Oryctolagus cuniculus: one gene and its partner. The protein of the gene in region 1 binds, or shares a complex with, the protein of each later gene. Links are inferred from orthologs where the notes say so. Each region holds a gene or a part of one and is shown on either strand. Other genes may lie near its edges.

Region 1 (3,643 bases):
AGAACTGCATCCAAAACTCCTGTATGAGTGGCAGAGGCTAACACCTGAGCCATCGTCTGCTGCCTTCCACAATGCATCAGCAGGAAGCTGGATTGGAAGCAGAGTAGCCAGGACCTGAAGTGGCACTCGTAATATTTATTTATTTGAAAGAGAAATCTCCCATCTACTGGTTCACTCCCTCAAAGAACCACAACAGCCAGGGTTGGGCGAGGCCAAAGCCAGGAGCTTCCTCCTAGTCTCCCATGTGGATGCAAGGGGCTAAGCACTTGGGCCACTTTCTGCTGCTTTCCCAGGTGCATCAGCCAAGGAGCTGGATCGGAAGCAAAGCAGCCAGGACTGGAACCCATATGGACGCCAGCACTGCAGGTGGCAGCTTAACCCACTGTGCCACGGTGCCAGCCCCTCAGCACTCTCAATACGGGACACAGCTGTCCCAAGAGGCGGCTTAACCCACTGTACCACAATGCCTACCCCTAGAAACATATCTTGTTTCCAACTTGTGGTTGCCTTCCCATACAAACATTTACCAGAAAAGAACAACAAAATAGAAGCAAACACCAGAAGAATTCAAAACATGGGTCACATATTTTTAAAAACACACTTACAGGGGCCAACATTATGGTGCAGTAGATTAAGCCAATGCTTGCAAGGCTGGCAATCCACATCAGGGTGCTGGTTGAAGTCCTGGATGTTCCGCTTCAACTCAGCTCCCTGCTAATGCTTGGGTCCCTGACACTCATGGGAGATCCAGATGGAATTCCTGGCTCCTTGCTTTGCCCTGGCCCAGAATCCAGTGTTTGGTTATTTGGGGAATAAGCTAGGATTATATCTGTTTCTTCTCTTTCAAACAAGTCTCTTTAAGAAACACACACACACACACACACACACACACTTAGAAATAAACATCTAAGAATCCTATCTGTGGTTTCACTTTCCAGTTTCAATTACCCACAGTCAAACCACAGTCTAAAAACATTAGATGGGAAATTCTAAAAATAAACAATGTGTACTTTCACTTTTTCATTTTATTTGAAAGAGAGGGAGAGACAGGGAGACCTTCCATCTGCTGGTTCACTTCCCAAATGCCCAAACAGTCAGGGCTGGGCCACACTGAAAAGCCCAGAACTCAGTCCAGGTCTCCCACATGCGTGTCAGACTCAAGCACTTGAGGCACCATCTGCTGCCTCCAAGGGTGCGCGTTAGCAGGAAGCTGGACTGGAAGGAGAAGAGCCAGGACTTGAACCAGGCACTCCAACATGGATGCAGCATCCCAAGTGGCAATTTAACTGCCTGTACTGCATGCCCACCCTAACAATACATATTTCTCAAGTGGCACCTGAGTAGCATAATAAGATCTCATGCAGTCCCACTCCATCCAGGCTGGGACAAATCTTCCCTTTGTCAGTTGTATCCATGCCACATAAGCTGCCCACCCATCAGTTACCAGATCAGCTATCGTGGTATTATGGTGCTTAAGTTCAAGTAACCTTTATTTCATTTAATAATAATACCAGGCATAAGAATAGGGATGTTGGCAACTCAAATGTCAAGGAAAAGCCAAAATTTAAAGTTAAAATCCTTTAAGTTTACAGATATAGAGTTTGTTACTATCCATGCTTTTGGGTATCAATGGTGGTACTCAAATGTATCCCTCATGGATAAGAGAAACCACTGTACATCTCCTATTACCAAAAGTAGCTAATTCACTTGATAGAAATCTGTTTTGCAGAACCTAAAAACAATGAAACTTACGCTGATGTTATAGCTCGGTATCGCTCTTGCCCTGCCGTGTCCCATATCTGTGCCTTTATTGTTTTCCCATCAACCTGGATGCTTCTTGTTGCAAATTCTACTCCAATGGTGCTCTTGCTTTCCAGATTAAACTCATTTCGAGTAAATCGAGATAGAAGATTACTTTTTCCAACACCAGAATCTCCAATAAGGACAACTGAAAAGACAAAGAACGCAATGTCAGGTGAATGAGATAACCACATTCAGAATACCACTATGCTTTCATCAGAATGTTTGCCTTCAACGCAAATAAAGAAAAAAAAAAAGATAGGACATCTTATTTTTCAAAAGATTTATTTAATTTATTTGAAAGGCAGAGTAACAGAGACAGATGGGAGAGAAAGAGGTTTTCCATCTGCTAGTTTACTCCCTAAACAGTCCCCACAGCTCCAGTCTGGGCCAGGCCAAAGACAGGAGCCAGGAGCTCCAGCTGGGTCTCCCTCACGGGTGGCAGGGGTCCAAGTGCTTGGGTCATCCTCCACTGCTTCCTCAGGCGCATTAGCAAGGAACTGGATCAGGAAGTGGAGTAGGTGGGACACAAACCAACACTCTGACATTGGACGGTGGCAAGGGCAGCTTAACCTACTATGCCACAACCCTGGCCGTAGGTTATCTGATTTTTAAAAAGGGATGGTGGGCAGGAGGTCGAGTAGCCCATGTCTTGACCAGTTATCAGTCAGTAGAACCAATTTATCTTCTGTTTCAGGGCCTGTGGTATGGCACAGCAAGTTAAGCCAGCTCCACTTCTGACCCAGCTCCCCACTAATGCACCTGAGAAAGCAGCAGAAGGCGGCCCAAGTACGTGGGCTCCTGCCACTCGGGAAATCCAGATGAAGCTCCTGGTTCCTGGCTTTGACCGGATACAGCCATTTGGGGAGTGAACCAGTGGATGGAAAATCTCTCTCTCTCTCTCTCCCTCCCTCCCTCCTTTTCTCCCCCCTTTCCTCCCCCTCTTTCAAATAAAACAAATCTTAAAAAAAAAAAAAAAACCTATATTCTTTCATAATGACTTCCACACATTACAGATGTGGTACCATTTTAAACAAGCAATTTTAATCAGGTGTACTAGCCACTGATGGCAGGTATTAATTACCATCAATACTAAACCAATCTTACTACTGCAGAAGAGAACTTAAAAAAATCAATCCAAAACTAAATGAACTTAAAATGTATCAGACATGAAAACAACAAAGGATATTAATAGATATGGAGGAAGAGAATATGTTTTATTTAGTTACCTCAAATAAAAGGTGTGACTTGAGGACTGACATTCATTCAACATACAAAGCATCAGGTTTATAACCTTTGCACTCAGATCATAGAAACTAAAATGATCTTTAATAGTTGCTTGTATCAGATTACTACAAAGCTGGGGACCATTCCCCCCACACCACACACACACACACACACACACACACACACATACACAGTAACTAAAACAAACCTTACCCCACTAAAGGTAAACAAGGGCCTAGGAAGCTAATACTTCTCACTTATTGGCACACACTTTCACTTATGAATTAATGACTTTTTTAAAAAACAGGTTTAACTAGATGAAATTACTTATGATTCCTATAGGAGACAATGTATTTACTATGTAACTTTTTCACTCCAAGTGATCATACTTATGAATTTCAAAAACAATGAAGGAGGCAGACATTGGCCTCAAAGTTAAGACACAAATTAGGACATCCTTGTTCCACGTTTGAGTACCAGCTCCTAATTCTTGCTTCCTGCAAATGTGGACTCTGGGGAAGCAGTGGTGAGGGATCAAGTAACTGGGCTCCTGCTACCCACATGGGAGATGTGTTGGCCATTGCATGGCATTTGGGCAGTGAATCAACAGATAGGA
Region 2 (3,643 bases), on another chromosome or scaffold:
GCCGCCGGCCTTTCCTCGCTGCGTCTTGCTTTTCTGAGAGCACTTCACCCCTGCACACTGCCGCCGGCCTTTCCTCACTGCGTCTTGCTTTTCTGAGAGCGCTTCACCCCTGCACACTGCCGCCGGCCTTTCCTCGCTGCGTCTTGCTTTTCTGAGAGCACTTCACCCCTGCACACTGCCGCCGGCCTTTCCTCACTGCGTCTTGCTTTTCTGAGAGCGCTTCACCCCTGCACACTGCCGCCGGCCTTTCCTCGCTGCGTCTTGCTTTTCTGAGAGCACTTCACCCCTGCACACTGCCGCCGGCCTTTCCTCGCTGCGTCTTGCTTTTCTGAGAGCGCTTCACCCCTGCACACTGCCGCCGGCCTTTCCTCACTGCGTCTTGCTTTTCTGAGAGCACTTCACCCCTGCACACTGCCGCCGGCCTTTCCTCACTGCGTCTTGCTTTTCTGAGAGCGCTTCACCCCTGCACACTGCCGCCGGCCCGGCCTACCTGGCCTGCAGGTTCTCGATCTCGATGCTCTTCTCTCGCTCCAGCCTGCACAGCAGCTCCTTCTGCCGCCGGGCCTCCCCCAGGACCGTCTCGCAGGCTCGCAGCTCCTGCTCCTTCAGCTGCTCCTCCAGGGCGTTGGCTCTGTCAGGGCAGAGCACAGCGCATGAGCAGGGCTCCAAGGCCTGTGGCCCCAGCTGTGGAGGCCTGCCTTTCTCCTGCAGCATCTGGACGCTGATCCAGGACCTGGAGAGCCTGTGCCCCCCGAAGGAAGGGGCAGGAGGGGGATGCCCCTCCAATGGCCCCCAGCCCCTACCAACTGGGGGCGTCTGGGGTGGCAGGACTTGCCCTCGTGCACCCCTGCCCACCTGACCCTGCCTGCTTGAGGCCTGTGGACAGGAGTGCACACAGAGGCCTTCGCTCACCAGTGCCTGTCCACAGCTGCTCGGCCCACAGCCACTACGCACAACCAGCCGGGCTCAGGGTCTCTGGGAGGCAGAGAGCGCATGTCCAACCTGACTGTGGAGACTGTCAGCTCCTATCAGCCATGACTGAGACTGGGGCAGCACAATCAGCCCAGGGTTGTCTCCCGAGGGTGTGCGTGAGGCCACAGCACACTACACCCAGGACCGGTCCAGCGCTGGCTGCCAGGCACACTGGAGCCCCAGGTGTTGTGGGGAGGGGACAGCTAAGCAGGAACCTGGGCTACAGCCCGGCCCTTTCCAGGCCACACAGGTGTCAGGGAGAACACAGGAAAGGGACCAGGAGCCCTCTCCTAGACCCCCGCGGACCACCGGCAGGAGACAGGGACCGGTCATCCCCGAGAGAAAGGCTGCAGGCCCCGCCCAGGGACGCAGTACAGCCCTGCCCCAAGCCCTGCTCTGGACACAGAACTTGCCTTCTCCGCACAGAGAGCGAACGGATGGCAACGGCTACCAGATGCCGCAGGAAGGTCTGTGCCACAAAGCGCAAGGCAAGCAAAGACAGGACTCTGAGAAAACTCTCCACGTGGAGACAGCAGGGGGGAGGCCCTGACGTGGACGTCAGAGGGCTGACGTCCCACACCCCTGAGATGCAAGCAGCTGTGACAGAGGACAGGTAACAGAAACCATCAGCAACTAAAACTATGGGAAGAAAAACTTAAAATTTCAATAGAAGGAGTTGAAGGAGAAAAATGAGGACATACAGGGAGACGAAAGGGCACAAAGACAAAGCTGGAAAAGGAAAATAAACAAAACGAGAGAAAACGCCCAGGGCTTCAGAGAAGGCAGATCAGGCACAGGAGAGGCTGGAAACAACTGACCCCAGCGGCAGGCATGGGGTCCGGGGTTACCCCCCAGGGGCAGGCATGGGGCTCAGGGGTTACCCCCCAGGGGCAGGCATGGGGCTCAGTGTCTACCCCCAGGGGCAGGCATGGGCTCAGTGTCTACCCCCAGGGGCAGGCATGGGCTCAGTGTCTACCCAAAGGGGCAGGCATGGGCTCAGTGTCTACCCACAGGGGCAGGCATGGGGCTCAGTGTCTACCCACAGGGGCAGGCATGGGGCTCAGGGCTACCCCTCAGCAGCAGGCATGGGGCTCAGGGCTCCCCCAGGGGAAGGCATGGGGCTCAGTGTCTACCCCCAGGGGCAGGCATGGGCTCAGGGGTTACCCCACAGGGGCAGGCATGGGGCTCAGGGGCAGGCATGGGCTCAGGGGTTACCCCCCAGGGGCAGGCATGGGGCTCAGGGGCAGGCATGGGCTCAGTGTCTACCCCTCAGCGGCAGGCATGGGGCTCAGGGGTTACCCCCCAGGGGCAGGCATGGGGCTCAGGGCTACCCCTCAGCGGCAAGCATGGGCTCAGGGCTCCCCCAGGGGAAGGCATGGGGCTCAGTGTCTACCCCCAGGGGCAAGCATGGGGCTCAGGGCTACCCCCAGGGGAAGGCATGGGGCTCAGTGTCTACCCCCAGGGGCAAGCATGGGGCTCAGTGTCTACCCCCAGGGGCAAGCATGGGGCTCAGGGCTCCCCCAGGGGAAGGCATGGGGCTCAGTGTCTACCCCCAGGGGCAGGCATGGGCTCAGTCTACCCACCAGGGGCAGGCATGGGGCTCAGTGTCTACCCCCAGGGGCAGGCATGGGGCTCAGGGCTACCCCCCAAGGGCAGGCATGGGCTCAGGGCTAACCCCCAGGGGCAGGCATGGGCTCAGTGTCTACCCCCAGGGGCAGGCATGGGGCTCAGGGCTACCCCCCAAGGGCAGGCATGGGGCTCAGTGTCTACCCCCAGGGGCAGGCATGGGGCTCAGGGCTAACCCCCAGGGGCAGGCATGGGCTCAGTGTCTACCCCCAGGGGCAGGCATGGGGCTCAGGGCTCCCCCAGGGGCAGGCATGGGCTCAGTGTCTACCCCCAGGGGCAGGCATGGGCTCAGTGTCTACCCCAGGGGCAGGCATGGGCTCAGTCTACCCCTAGGGGCAGGCATGGGCTCAGTCTACCCCCAGGGGCAGGCATGGGCTCAGTTTACCCCCAGGGGCAGGCATGGGGCTCAGGGCTCCCCTAGGGGTAGGTCTGGGCTTAGTCTACCCCCAGGGGCAGGCTCGCCACCTGGGCCCCCACAGCCCGTGTGGAAGGCCTGGGTTTGAGTCCAAGCTGCACTCCCGCAGTGAGGGTTCCAGCACTTGGGCCCTGGCACACGTGGGGCAGACCTGGATTGATTTCCCAGCTCCTGGCTTCGGCCTGGCCCAGCCCGGCTGTTAGGGGTATTTGAGGAATGACCCAGCAGGTGGGAGATCTCTGTCTCTGAGCCTTTCAAATAAGTAAAATTTTTTAAGAAATAGAATTCTAGAAATCTTTCTGAAGCTGAAGGTTTCAAGGCTGGAAACTGAGTAAACCACACAGAAAACAACAAAGGCCTCATGAAAACATCCCAGGCAAGAAACACACACGGGGGCAGCCGGAGCCCGTGTGCCAGCTGACGCAACATCATCTTATACTCAGCTGAACCCCGACTGGAGGGGGGGCAGGGAAGGGAAGACGCACCTCTTTGCAGGCACCCATCGGGGGCCTCCTCTCAGCAAGCGAACAAGACAGACGGCCTGGGATCCGGAAATGAGAGCAAACCCGAGAAGGCGTGTGGGCAGCCCACCCCAGGCCGCTGGAGCAGCAGGCTGCTCGCAGCTCCGCA

The links. Proteins that work in one complex are often made in the same cells at the same time.
Region 2: the proteins of RAB11A (region 1) and RAB11FIP3 are in contact, whole or in part, in a crystal structure (PDB 2HV8), measured with the Homo sapiens proteins. The link is inferred for Oryctolagus cuniculus from reciprocal best matches to the Homo sapiens genes RAB11A and RAB11FIP3. Residues at the interface, in NP_004654.1 of Homo sapiens: Arg33, Ile44, Gly45, Val46, Glu47, Phe48, Ala49, Thr50, Trp65, Arg72, Arg74, Ala75, Ile76, Ala79, Tyr80, Arg82; in NP_055515.1 of Homo sapiens: Asn731, Phe732, Gln735, Ile738, Asp739, Arg740, Ile742, Val743, Met746, Glu747, Pro750, Ser751, Leu753, Glu754, Val755, Lys756.

The regions. Positions count from the first base shown.
Region 1 is NC_091443.1:88,893,636-88,897,278, reverse strand, and holds part of RAB11A (ras-related protein Rab-11A), read right to left. Parts: intron 1,949-3,643; coding exon 1,753-1,948; intron 1-1,752. UniProt on the Homo sapiens protein: The small GTPases Rab are key regulators of intracellular membrane trafficking, from the formation of transport vesicles to their fusion with membranes.
Region 2 is NC_091450.1:34,135,587-34,139,229, forward strand, and holds part of RAB11FIP3 (rab11 family-interacting protein 3), read right to left. Parts: intron 632-3,643; coding exon 491-631; intron 1-490. UniProt on the Homo sapiens protein: Downstream effector molecule for Rab11 GTPase which is involved in endocytic trafficking, cytokinesis and intracellular ciliogenesis by participating in membrane delivery. Recruited by Rab11 to endosomes where it links Rab11 to dynein motor complex.